Mus musculus: one gene and its partners. The protein of the gene in region 1 interacts with the protein of each later gene in a pairwise test. Links are inferred from orthologs where the notes say so. Each region holds a gene or a part of one and is shown on either strand. Other genes may lie near its edges.

Evidence for each region.
Region 2: the proteins of Ralgds (region 1) and Rap1a interact in a two-hybrid assay, tested with the Homo sapiens proteins (3 studies listed by BioGRID and IntAct). The link is inferred for Mus musculus from reciprocal best matches to the Homo sapiens genes RALGDS and RAP1A.
Region 3: the proteins of Ralgds (region 1) and Rap1b interact in binary tests that used the Homo sapiens proteins (3 or more experiments, as listed by UniProt). The link is inferred for Mus musculus from reciprocal best matches to the Homo sapiens genes RALGDS and RAP1B.

What each region holds. Positions count from the first base shown.
Region 1 is NC_000068.7:28,550,199-28,553,922, reverse strand, and holds the end of Ralgds (ral guanine nucleotide dissociation stimulator), read right to left. Parts: intron 3,475-3,724; coding exon 3,360-3,474; intron 1,832-3,359; coding exon 1,656-1,831; 3' UTR 841-1,655; downstream 1-840. UniProt on the Homo sapiens protein: Functions as a guanine nucleotide exchange factor (GEF) activating either RalA or RalB GTPases and plays an important role in intracellular transport. Interacts and acts as an effector molecule for R-Ras, H-Ras, K-Ras, and Rap.
Region 2 is NC_000069.6:105,798,113-105,802,765, reverse strand, and holds the start of Rap1a (ras-related protein Rap-1A), read left to right. Parts: upstream 1-1,384; 5' UTR 1,385-1,527; intron 1,528-1,703; exon of another isoform or gene 1,704-1,972; intron 1,973-2,195; exon of another isoform or gene 2,196-2,233; intron 2,234-4,653. UniProt on the Homo sapiens protein: Counteracts the mitogenic function of Ras, at least partly because it can interact with Ras GAPs and RAF in a competitive manner. Together with ITGB1BP1, regulates KRIT1 localization to microtubules and membranes.
Region 3 is NC_000076.6:117,842,706-117,847,274, reverse strand, and holds the start of Rap1b (ras-related protein Rap-1b), read left to right. Parts: upstream 1-1,300; 5' UTR 1,301-1,444; intron 1,445-4,569. UniProt on the Homo sapiens protein: GTP-binding protein that possesses intrinsic GTPase activity. Contributes to the polarizing activity of KRIT1 and CDH5 in the establishment and maintenance of correct endothelial cell polarity and vascular lumen.

The DNA.
Region 1 (3,724 bases):
CATGAGGAATCCAGTTCGTGTCCTCTACAAGACCAACCATCAAGCGCCCTGCCAGCCCCTCTTCCTACAAACCCTACACATTTCTGTGTTTGTGAACATGTGGTACACATGGTGACCTCACTTACAGAAGTTGGACTTTCCCCACCATGTTGGTCCCAGGGAGCAGAGTTGGGTTGTCAGGCTTAGTAATGGGTACTTTCACCTCCTGAGCCACCCTGCTGCCTTACAACCTACCACTTCTTTCTATCTCATTCACCTACCTACCTATCTTCCTTCCTTCTACCCATCCATCCATCCATCCATCCATCCATCCATCCATCCATCCATCCATCCATCTACCTACCTACCTATCGTATGTGTATGAGTGTTGGCTGCATGCTTTCCTGAGGAGCCAGAAAAGAGGCATATCCCCTGGAGCTGGAATTACAGGTGGTTGTGAGCTGCCTGATATGGGTACTGAGAAGCAAACCCAGGTCCTCTCCAAGAAGCCTGCCTCTGGGCTCTGCCCTCCACACCTCCCTGAGATTTCCGCATATGTGTGTGCTCTTAGCTGTAGAGCCCCCACCCCACTCCCCAATCTCCTATCTCTATAGAGACTGATCCCTGGAGCCACCGCCTGACACCAGCCATTCACAGGCCATCTCCTCATGAGAACACCCCAGGAGTGCTGAGAGGCTGTAGCACTGAGCACATCACTCCTTTAACTTGTCTGCTGCACATGAAGTGGGTGTGTGCTCCTTCAGCTGCCTCTTCTCTGCCTGCATGAAATCAACTGAGTCCTTACAAAAGAGTCAGAAAACCCTGAAAATAAGCAAGGAAATAAAAACAGTAAAACCACAGTGACCAGGCCGTAGTAGAAACGGGATTTTAATATAATATTCAAGTCTAGCATTTTCTATTTACAACAAATAAATATTGTCCCACCCCAATCAGTAAACTTTTTACGTTTTATACAAATGTTCAGTTGTCTTCCTCCTCCCCACAAACCTCCCACTGCGTGTCGTCTTGTACAGCCCGGATGCAGCGGTGGTCAATGGCACTTTCAGTGGACTGGGATTCAATACCAACCGGGCAGTTCACGAGAGGGCTTCTCTCTCTGATCCAAGGGAGGGCTTGGGCTCCTGGTGGGCGAGGCTCCCTCACTCTGTAGGCCCTGAAGGTGGAATCTTTGGTGCAGCCTGAGAAAGGCTAGAGTGTGGGAGGAAAGGCTAGGACCTCCATGAAAGTCCCAGGCCAGTGCCTGTGGGCACAAGGAGAGAATGCAGTCGGCAGCCCTGCTGGGTGTATGTGTGTCCTGGAGCATCCGGGAGCATGGGTGGCAGTGATCTGCACCTGGGGAGGTGTCAGCAAAGTGTGGTGGATAGTGTCCAGGGCAGGCAAGGTCCCATGCCCAGTTGGCAACACTCCTTGGCAAAAGTCAGCTAGTCCTCTGGTTTCAGAGAGCAGAAGGCACCGAAGGCGGCAAGTGGTCCCCAGAGGCCAGGTCAGCCTGTCAGTGGCAGGTGTCAATCCCGGCAGCAGGAGAGGTTCAGGGTGAAAGTGGAGTAGGGGGGTAGCCTGGACTGGCAGGTGGGCAGAGGTACCTGTGTGGCCAGGGCCACTCTAGTCTGTAAGTGCTTAGTCTCCAGCCAGTCAGCCCGTCCCAGGAGACGTCCTTAGAAGATGCCTTTGGCAATCCTGAGTCCCTTCTGCTTCATACGAGGGAGGGTGGAGCTGGCTCCATGCTTGACTTTAGCCCCCTTAGTGAAGGTCCGCTTCTTTAGGATGAAGTCATAGTTGGCGGTAGAGTTCATGGCATAGAACACATTGGCGTTTTCTGGAATCTTCAGCTCTGGTGGGAGAGGGACAGGGAGTGGTGCTTTATGCGGCTGAGATGCCCCCACCTCCTGAGAGCCTCCTCCCGGCCAGGCCACAGCAGGGCCTTGGGAGTCCTCCAATCCAGCTCCAACAAGGACCTCTCCTGCGACCCCAGTAGAGGTCAATGAGAGCCTAAGGAAGTCTCTCCACACCACCTTTACGGCTCTCTCTGCTGGCTAGGACTTCCAGCCAGAGCAGGTTTCCAGGAATCCACACTGCCTTCCATGATGCTCCACTGCTACTCACCAAGGCTCCAAGGACCAGCAGAGGGCAGAACCTTCCTCTGGGTTCCATTCCACTAGTCACCTCTGGCCTAGAATCTGTCCATCATTACCAAGCGGGACTTCCTGCTGACCCCGTGTCTGCCTCTAGTTCCTGAGCCTCTGTAGGCCTGCCTTCTGGAAGGAAGGGGCCCCCTCACCCTGTCCATATAACCAAAACAGTGGAGAAGCTGAGAGGAGGTTTGCAGTAGAACATCTAGGTATCTTGGGAGTTACTGCAGACAGCAGCAAATGGTGAGATGGGGGTGTTCAGCTCACTTCAGCAGTGTCTGTGGTGACAGACATGGGTGGCCTCTGTGGTGATGTCTCTCTCTAACATTAAGCTGCTGGCCACAGCCTCCTTTTGGGGAAAAGGACATAGGCACAGAGCCCCTGAAATTCTCCAAGATCCTTGAGAATGGCCTGATTTTTCTATTTATCTTTTTAATTACATTCATGCATCTATGGAGGCCCAAAGAGGGCATCACATCCTGTACAACTGGACTCATAGGAGGTTGTCAGCCAGCTGTGGAGAAGCTGAGAGGGGGGAACTGAACTCAGATCCTCTGCAAGAGCAGCACACACTTAGGGGATTATAAGTAACCATGTGGGTACTAGGTACTGACTCAGGACCTCTGGAAAAGCATCAAGTTCTAACTGCTGAGCCATCTGTCCAGCACACAGTAGTCTGTACACTGTAACCACTAGGCTGTCTGCCCAGCACACAGTACACTGTACACTGCACACTGTACACTGTAACCACTGAGCCGACTCCCCAGCCCAGGCTTGTGACTCCATCCTTCTTTCTAGAATGCTGACTCGTCTGTGCGCTTTTTTGCATCTCATGTGTGGATTTTTTTTTAAAGATGTATTTATTTGTATTTTGTGTGTGTTGGTGTTTAGCCTGCATGTATGGCTAGGAAGGTGCCAGATCTATGCAAATGAAGCTACAGTGATGAGCTGCCATGTAGGTGCTGGGAACTGAACCTGGGTACCCTGAAAGAGCAGCCAGCGCTCTGAACCGCTGAGCCATCCAGCCTCTCGTGTGTGGATTTTAAACTGAGCATTCTTCCTGAAGTACCTGCTTTCTTATTTTAACCAGGCAATGTCCTCTCTGACAGGCCCACGCATGAGCCTCTCTCCTCAACTCTTGTCTCTTATGGAGAGGCCCAGCAGCAGGCTCTGGGGAAGGGGCCGGTGCTGAGCCGCCCCTCAGCCCTGGCCTACAGTTGACTGACTTACTGTGATCCTCTGAGATGATCTGCACCAGCTCATAATCCTCCGGCTCGTCCTCATCTAGGTTGTGTTTGTCCATGGCTTTTCGGATGACAGTCGGAGCCTTATCCTGGCTGGTCACCTGAATTGGGATGGGGAGCAGGCTATCAGGACAGGGCACAGTGTCCTACAACAGCTTGCCACCAACTTCCACATGGTCTTGGGGAGCTATGTGCCCCTGAAGCAAGAGGAACCAATAATTTCCACTCGGATGATAAGGAGGAAGCAGCTGATGCTCACTGGCCTCCCATGCCCAGCCCTGCCCTAAGGCTGCGGTGGCAGGCAGCACAGGCTACTAGCTCAGAGGGTTCAGACATGGGGTCACCCAGGTG
Region 2 (4,653 bases), on another chromosome or scaffold:
CAGAGATTGAGATTCAATTGTCTTCTTAGCTATTTCAGCAGTAGGCAAGGGAACTGACTGATCACTCCCTCTTTTCTAAAACAACTCCCTAACAACTTCCTTCCTTCCAAGGGGTTCCTCTAACCTGACTGTCAACTCTGCTTATCTTTAACCTCTAAGTTTCTCTTGGTCCTCTCTTCCAGTTACTCCCCATCCCTAAGAGAGTTTATGTAGACCGGAGGGTCAAATCATCTACATCCTGATGGATCTCAAATTTATATCTCAGACTCATCACCACTGAACTTTCTCCATCCCCCATAAAACTGAACTCTCAATTTCTTTGGTCCCAGCTTTGTTCTTACCCTATCTTCTCTCTTATTAAATGATATCAGTCAGCAGGCCCCCAACCTAAGATTCATTCCTAATTGTTTCGTTCGACCCTCTGCTTTCTCAAGTCTAAATCTATTAAAATAGGTTTAATAAAGCTAAAATAAACAAAATCTAAAATAAAATAACCACTCTTGGCCAATTGGACGAGAATAGCCACCTTAGACTTCCCCTGTGAACATTCGTGCTTCAGTTGGATATTTTACATACACAGTGAGACTCACTCCAGTTCCCGATGGGCCTGAAACTCATTGTGTAGTCCAGGCTAACCTCAAACTCGTGGCAATTCTGTTCCTGTTTTCAAAATGCTGGGATTCCAGGAGTAAACCACCACGCCCTGCATAAAGTTAACCTTTAAAAACATGAACTAGATATAGTTGTTTCTGGGCCCACCCTCTCCTCGGGGCTTCCTGTTGTCATTACAATGGCCCAAAGGCTCCACCGGGTCTGGTCGTTTGTCCAGATCTTGGCGCCTCAGTACTCTTTGGCCATAGACTCTACTTATCTATCCATCCTTTCGCTTGCATTTTGCTAGTTGTGAAATATGGAAGACACACCCCACCTCGGGGTTTGTGGCTGATTTCCTCTCAACCCAGGAAGGTATTCTTCTCATCCAGCCTCTTTTGGATAGGCTCGTTTCTTCATAGCACGAACAAAAGCATGCAAAGCCCTCCCTGGTGACCTGTGAATTTTGCTACTCTTTTTGTTGTTCGTGTTCCCTCTCCTGGGTCACGAGGATGAGAGCTCTATAAGTGACTTTCCCTATGTATGCCTAGGCATTGGGGACCTACTAGGCACTCAACTAACAGCTGTCCCATGGTTGCATCCCTTCAAAATTCTCTTTCTGATTTTTTTTTCCCTTCCTCATTTCAATGTTGGCCTTAACCACCTTCTCAAAGGCAAGGCCCCAGTTCCTGTTGGCACACTATGCCCCCCACCCTTTGAAGAACGGCTCCCTTAAATAGATTCCGGACACAGCGGGGAAGGCGGAGACCAGGGCGGGGGGGGCGGGGCCTGCGTGCTGCGTGCGTGCGCGTTCCGGAGGCGCCGCCGCCGCCGCTCCCGAGGCCGCTGCTCCTGCCGCCGCCGTGCAGAGCCCGAGCCCGAGCCGCGGCCGAGAGGAGGGAGGAGGAGGAGGTGGAGGAGGCGCCGGGCCGCGGGGTGAGTACGGGGTGCGAGTGAGGGGCGCGGACTGGCCGCACCTCGGTGGCCTATTCTTAACCGTCCGCGAGTCCGGGGCGGCGGCCGGGGGCCCGGCGGGCGGGAGGGGCCGCGGCTGAAGGCCGGAGCCAGCCACGCCCGCGGACCGAGGCGGCCCGGCGGGGCCTGCGGGACCGGCCGCGAGGGGCGGGCCGCGAGATGGGACGCGTGTCCGCGCCCGCTCGGCTGTCGTCCCCGCGGACGGAGAGGTGCGGTGCCCTCCGCGCGGCCTTTGCCCCGGCCGCCGAGCGCTGACACCTCTGTGTCCCACTCCGCCGCCAGCCCGGGTTCCCGCCCTCCCTGCCCTCTGTATTCTGCCGCTTGCCATGTGTTCGCCTTTGCAGCGTCGCTCTCGACTCTCTGATATCTGCTGCTACCCCTGAATTTTGTCAGGAAAGAGGCCACGGTGTGATTCCGGTCTTCCGCCCACCGAGGGCGTGTGAGGAGTGTGGGGTGGTGGGATTGTAGCTTGTCTCCTTACTCAGAAAGTTAAGGGCAGTGTCTTCTGCTGAGTTGTGTAATTGGCTGTTGTAAGGAGAAGAGCAAGGAAGGACAGTTGTGTCCCCCGCGTCCGCCCCCCCTCCTATCTGAGATTTCCTCACAGGATAGAAAACTAGAGTTGAGGGGACCTTTCATGCCTTGGAAAAAGAGCTACCGCTCAGAAACTGTGAGTGTATTGCCGTTGGGAAAGGAAAATCGTTTTGTCGCTGCTTTGAAGGAAGTACTGTGTAAGAAATGGAATAAAAGGGCAGGAGGTTAATGGGCCAAGCGGGACAGGTACCAACCGCTGTTGTCTGCTTCTTGGGTGGCTGAAGATACTGTTTTTATTAGAGTCAAAGTGTCGACTCTCAGAATTAACCAGGGGAGTTAGCCTTCAGAAGCGGGCGGTTAGAAGAGATGATGCTGGAAACAGGATTTGGAAACTTTCTTTGAGTTTCCTGTCAGAGTGTGTGGGGGTAGATATGCCTGTGAGTACTTTTTTCTTTTGATGTAATTGATTTCTGTAACACTTTGGTAGAGTAAGTACTAGATTAGGTCCCAGACTCTTTCCTGTCTTTATGCTCTTCTGTAACACTTTGTTTCAAAATTAAATTTACATTTTCGGATATTCTTTCTTAGTGTGACTCTTGTTTAGTTTAGTTCCTTGCTACTTCAGGTTCTGTTATGATTGTGTTCGTTAGCAAGGATTATACCTGTCCCAGCATTTGTCGAATGAGTTGAGTGGTCTGTTTACACATCTCTTATCTTTTTGAGAGAAATCTTTATGTTAAATGTTGCATTCCGCTTCCATTATAAAAAATGTCATTCTTAACCATTTCTAGAACATGGTGATGCATATGAACTCTTCCTTTGCCCAGGAAAAACAAAACAGACATTTATCCCCAGAATGTTGTATTCAGCTTCTGGTCTCCTCTAAAGCCACCCATAGACACCGATCTTAAAAGTGAACAGAGATCTCGATGTTATTCAGTTTCATATTAAAACTTTGCAAAAGTGCACACTTTTTGTGGCCTCAGGTGTGATCGTGCTTTCACCCTAAATTCTGAGGATTTTGGAACAAGGTTTAAAATTGATTTCAGTTTTATGAGGAAAAGTTCTCAGGAACCTCTCTCCCCTCCCCCCAATCTCCTGTGGCTCAGTGGTGTCACTGAGGAAGACCTTGAACCACCAACTCTCTTGCCTCGACCTCCAGAGTGCTTGGATCAGTATAGACTTCCCTGGTTTATGTGGTGTTGGGATGAAACCCAGCTTCATGCAGGGAACTTTTAGCAGTCATTTTGTTTGTAGTGTTGAGGAGCTAATCCAGAGCCTCAAGCAGGGTTGGCAAGCACTTTGCCCCTGAGCTATATCCCCGGCTCTAACCAGTAGCCATTTTTAACCAATACTCCCTAGTATATTTTGACCCCTCTAAACTCATAATCATGACTAATCAGACTTTTGTATAATCTATGTTTTAGTAATATGAGCATTTGAAAATCAAATAATTTCTTTTTTTTCCTCTTCCAAGCTTGTTCATATGTGTGGTCTTCATGTAGTCAGTTGTGAAAATATGCAACATTCAGGAAGTACTTAATTGAATGTCTGCTGTGTGGATAAGGAGTTCTTGCTGTCATCCCTTCAGCAGGAGGGACAAGACCCTAGCCAAGTAAATGTAGTGTCAGGTGTTAGAGCTGTGTGGAAGGGTGAGGACTGGTGAGGGGCTAGAGAATACTGTCAGGGAAGACCTGAAGGAAGTGAGGAGGGCTGTGTGCTTCCTCAGATGCAAAAAGATGACAGGAAGAGCGAGCGGCCTGCTAGGGCAAAGACCCTCCAGTATATGTGACCCTTTGAGAACAGCTAGGAGGGCAGTGTGGTGTAAGAACAGTAAGCAGGGAGAGAAGAGGGCTTGAGATTAGAGAAGTAAGGGGGGCTCTTACACTCAGTACTGGGACGTTTGCATTTTACACTGACTGACATGGGGGAGCCCTTAGAGTAGAAGAGAGACCTTATCTGACCTAAGTTTATGAACATCCTTCTGACTATTGTGTGGAAGTCAACTCAGGTTGGGGAAGGAAGGAAAGAGTAGGATCTAGGATTTTTTTTTTTCCTTTCCTTTTTTAATGTTCTGGGGATTGAACCCAAGTCCTTGAACTTGCTAGGCAAATGCCTAGTAACCAAGTTACATCCTGCCCTATGTCTTCCTTTTTAACCTTTCAACCATGCTAAGATTGTCCATCTTCTTTCTGTCGGGCATGTAGGTATCCTCTCCTCCCCATAGAATAACAATGATGGTTCACAGTAGTCTAGGCAACATTTTTTTTTTCCTTTTGGAATATTTCTTTGTGATTTATTTCTAAAAGGATCAGTATGTGAATAGACATATAGTTAGTTGGCCATCTAGTTTTAACAGCCGTGTTTTCTGAGCACAAGTTTCATGGCAATTTAGTTTTCATTGGGTGTTATCACCACAGACGATTGTTTTTAGACAGGTTGAATTTAGCTCATTTTTGCTTTTCACAGAGTGCTAATTAGTGGGAATATAGGGGTGAATTAGAGGGCCTTTGCTCTCAGGGAACTTTTACATTCTTCTGTGCTTTATAATCTAAT
Region 3 (4,569 bases), on another chromosome or scaffold:
TTAGGTTGGCTTTAACTTACTCTGTGGCCTCAGCAACCTAGAATTTGCAAGGAGCCACCTCCTGCTCAGTCTGCAGAAGAAAGAGGTGTGCTCTTACAGACTGGCATCCTGAGACCCAGCTATAATTCTTTCTTACTCGCTCACTTAACTCAGGTTAGCGTAGTGGTCACGTCTCCATTTCTCTTCTAGGGTTCGTTAAATTTCCAGAATAATTTGTACAGGGAGGGCCAGCTAAATTGCCTACTCCTTTCAGTACTTTCCTCTCAAGTTTTGTTCATCAAAACCTTTTCCCTCGCTGGCAGTGGTGGCGCATGCCTTTAATCCCCAGCACTCCATACGTAGAGGCAGGTGTATCTGAGATGAAAGCCAAGCTGGTCAACATAGCAAGGTCAGGCCAGCCAGGACCACGCAATGAAGAGAGCGTAATCAGAGCAGAAACAAAGTCTTCCAAACAAAGCTCTGATAGCATGATTCTCATATTAAAGGTGATGGTGAGAAAATATTCTAATTACCTAGATCGATGTAAGTTCTTGTGCTCTTTGGAACAAGTCATTTTTGGACAGAGCTTTTCGGAGTCACATCATAGACTGACATCTATGAGTAATCTATAAAGTCATGAAGGCGCCCCAGGCATGCTCTTCCATGAACCAATTATTTTAATTCTATAAACTGTTCACTTAGGCACAGGCCATAAGCATGCTTTGGAATCCTCCATTCGCGAACTGCGTCTGGCAGGGTAATTTGGACAGCTGGCCCTGCTTAACACACCACAGGCTGAAATACTTGTCAAACCTAAAGAAAGGCCATTTGAAAAATGAAAAGCTGCCCTCGCGCTCTGGGAGTGGGAACTGCTGCTCTGTTACTTCCCCAGCACAAAGGACCACGCGAACACCGACGGTCTGGGGGCGTTGGCGACTGTGCACTCGGAGGCCCCGCGAAGGCGTCAGAGGTTTCCAAGCCCCTGAGCTCCCCGTTACCCGCTGGGGTCGAAACGGATGCGCTCCGCTGAGGCTGACACCGATTATGTCGGACAGCCCAGCCAGCGGGGGGCGAGGCCGACCGCAGCAACGAGACGCAGGGCAGGGGAGAAGGGCCACGGCCGGAGCCGGCGACCGAGAGCCGGGGCGAGGCCCACTGCGAGGCGAGCACGACGAGACCCCGCCCCCCTCCGCCAGGGCCCGCCTCGGCCCCGCCCCTTCCCGGGCTGCGCTCCTGCGCGCCCCGCCCGCGGGCGGAAGCGAGAGCGAGGCTGAACGCCTGACGTCAAGGCGACACCGCCAAACCTCGCCCAGAGTCAGGCGTGGAAAGCAGCCCGAGCGGCGGCGGCGGCGGCGACGGCGACGGCGGCAGCGGCAGAGACCGCCGTGGCGCCGGGAGCAGCGACCCGAAGGGAACGCGCGGCGACGGCGAGGGCGACGGCGGCGACCCGGTGACAGCGCGAGAGGTGGGCGCGGGGTGCGTGCGTGGCCGCGAGGCTGGCGGGGGGCCGGGCGCCGGCTGAGGGGAGAGGTGGGGTGCGGCGCGGACCGGGCGGGGCAGCCCGATGGCCCCCGCGGCGGCGAGGGTGGCCCGGGCGCGCGGCAGGTGGCTGGCGGGGGGCCCCCCGAGTCCCTCGCTCGCTTCGGCGGGGCGCGCCGCCTCGGGGCGGCCGGGGAGGAACCGCGGCCGCGGCGGGGGAGCAGCGCGCTTTGCGGAAGGGGTCAAATGTCTGAAATATGGCGGAGGAAGTGAGCGCCCGAGGAGCCCCCACCCGCCTGCCCGAGGCCCCCGCAGCCTTCCCCGCCGCGCCCCGCTCCCCGCCTCGGCGGTGGGTGGAAGTTAGAGCGGAAACCAGAAAGTTGTCCTCTGCGGACACCCGGGCTTCTCCCAGCCCGGGGCCGGGCGGGCGGAGCAGCGTCGCGAGGGGGGGCGGGGGGACCACTCCCCGGCGCCCCGCGGGCTCGAGCCTGACAGGGAAAAAGTTTGCCCGGATCGGGGCTGGCTTGCTTCATTTGTTGCGGGAAGTGGCAGGAGGAAGGCAGCGGAGCGAGCCCCACCTAGTCTGGCAGCCGCCACCGTGCAGAGGGAAAAAAAAAATGTTAAAGGGGCCTTTCCTTCGTCAGCAAGAGGAAATCTCTTTTTCTCTTGCAGAGAGAAAAATCCAGGAAGTTTGTCCTCTTCTCCTTTTTTTTTTTTTTTTCTTTTCGCCATCTCGAGGTGTCTGATTCTGAAACTGACTTATCAGCGCCGTGAATTTGGGAACTAGGCCCTCGGGATTTTCCTTGGGGTGGAGGGGGGCGGGAGGAGAAGATGCCTTTGGAAGAAACATCTTCGCTTAAGAGTTTTGAGCAGATGGGATTGCTTTCCTTTCGCTTGCCCCCTCCCACCCCCCAATGCTTTAGAAAGATATTTTGGCCCTGCGACTCTCGACTCGTGTGCATACAAGCACTTCTTTATTACAGTAATAGGAACTCACATTTTTTTTTTTTACTAAGTTGAAAGTTGACATTACGATGCAGGCTGGACTTTTCAATATTTTAAAAATCAATTGAGTCTCGTTGAAATGTTTGCTTTGCTGGCAGTGTGTATTAATATATACCGAGTGCCTCTAGCTTGTAAATTCATTTTTTTTTCAGTTTTCTTTTGTATAATTAGAACGTTGTCGAGACTTGCCTGAAAGGAGTTTATCTTAGCAAGAAGTAACTTAATTGAATGGAGAAATTCTTTTAATTTAAAGCCCTTACCACTCTTAAAGCCTGATATGAAGTCAGTGTATTAAGTCATAATAGAGTCATGGGGCTTTTTAGGGCCGGAAAGAGACTCTTTAAATCATCTGGTCCCACCCTGTCGTTTCATGAGGAGGAAACTAAGGCCTAAAATAGATAACCAATTACCTGAGTCTGCTGATTTGTAAAGCCGTGGTCTATCCATAAAGGACAATCCACAGGAAGCAATGTGACTTTTTTTTTTTTTTAATTGTGAATTACATCTTGGTAGAGATTATTGGTCCCATTATGCTCTCTTCTCCAAGAGTGCCATAGTTAGCTAAATGGTATGGAATACGTCAACCCCTTAGGTAGTTTCATCCCCTGGTTTTGGTTAGAGGAAGTTAATACTCCGAGGAGGAAATAATTTTAACTTAGAGACACAGAATCCCAAATGACAGTCTTGTTTGATATCCATACTTTTAATCTCTGTAGTACATTATATTCCCTTGTACTTTCTTGTTTGACACAGAAGTTCAGTGACCTTATCTGTGGAAGCTGCAAAGTAAAATCAAAAGGACATATAGTTGCTTGTGCTATAATGTATCGAACCTCAGATTAACATCTGAAGGGCCCCATGCTAAGCCGGCTTAATTTTTAGTCTGTGGTCTGGGACACAGAAATGATGAACGTGTCTTTCTTCTTTTTCTGTCTGTCTTACCACTGTTCTTTCCGTGGCTTGTATCACTTCCTGTCTTCTGTTACTGTTGTGTGTGTTTCTCTGTTCTACCAAGTTGTAAGGTCCAAGGAAGGGGTAGATTTCTTCTGCATGCCTCAAATGACTAGCATGTCGCTGTTACATAGACACTCAGATGAAAGTTCAGTAGAGTTCATTGAACACACCATGAGAATAGGAATTCTGCTTTACTCTTAGTCCCTAGCATTTTACCTGGGCACATAGTGATGTTTGGGACTTAATTCAGAGACTAAAGAGAACAGTGTAATCATTTTAAAAAGAATTAAACATTTTCTTTGGGAATCTCTCACTTTCCACGTTGATCATTTTATCATTGGTCATTTATAATGATTCCAGTATTTTCTTTTGACCTATACAGGGAAAGTGAGCCCTCCCACTAAAGAGCCTATAAGAGTAACAAGTTGAAATAAAGAATCCTTTTTAAAAGATTTATTTATATGAGTACACTGTAGCTGTCTTCAGACACACCAGAAGAAGGCATCAAATCCCATTACAGATGGTTGTGAGCCACCATGTGGTTGCTAGGAGTTGAACTCAGAACCTCTGGAAGAGCAGTCAGTGCTCTTAACTGCTGAACCATCTCTCCAGCCCTTTTTGTTTGGTTTGTTTTGTTTGTTGTTTGTTTGTTTGTTTTGAGACAGGGTTTCTCTGTGTAGCCCTGGATGTCCTGGAACTTACTCTGTAGACCAGGCTGGCCTCGAATTCAGAAATCCACCTGCCTCTGCCTCCCAAGTGCTGGGATTAAAGGCGTGCACCACCACCACTGCCCCCTTTTTTTAAAGTGGTGCGAGGCATGGTATTTTGCAGCTGTGATCCCAGCAGTTAAGATTGAAGCAGGAGAATTGCCATAAATTTAAGGCTAGCCTGGGCTAGTGAAACCTGGTCTATAAATAAATATATGAATAACTTGATCTATGTACGTAAAGGTCTTTGAAGAACTTAGTGCTTATGCAGAGATTGATAACATATAACTGTATGTGCTGTTTTACATGTAAAGTCTTAAGATTGGCATGGGAAGCTTATGTTCAGCTCTTAGGTATGTAATAGTTATGGAAAAATTAACGCGTGACAACAGACAGAACTTAGCTGATCTTACGTCCACCTCCCAAGTATAGTTTACATTTGGCA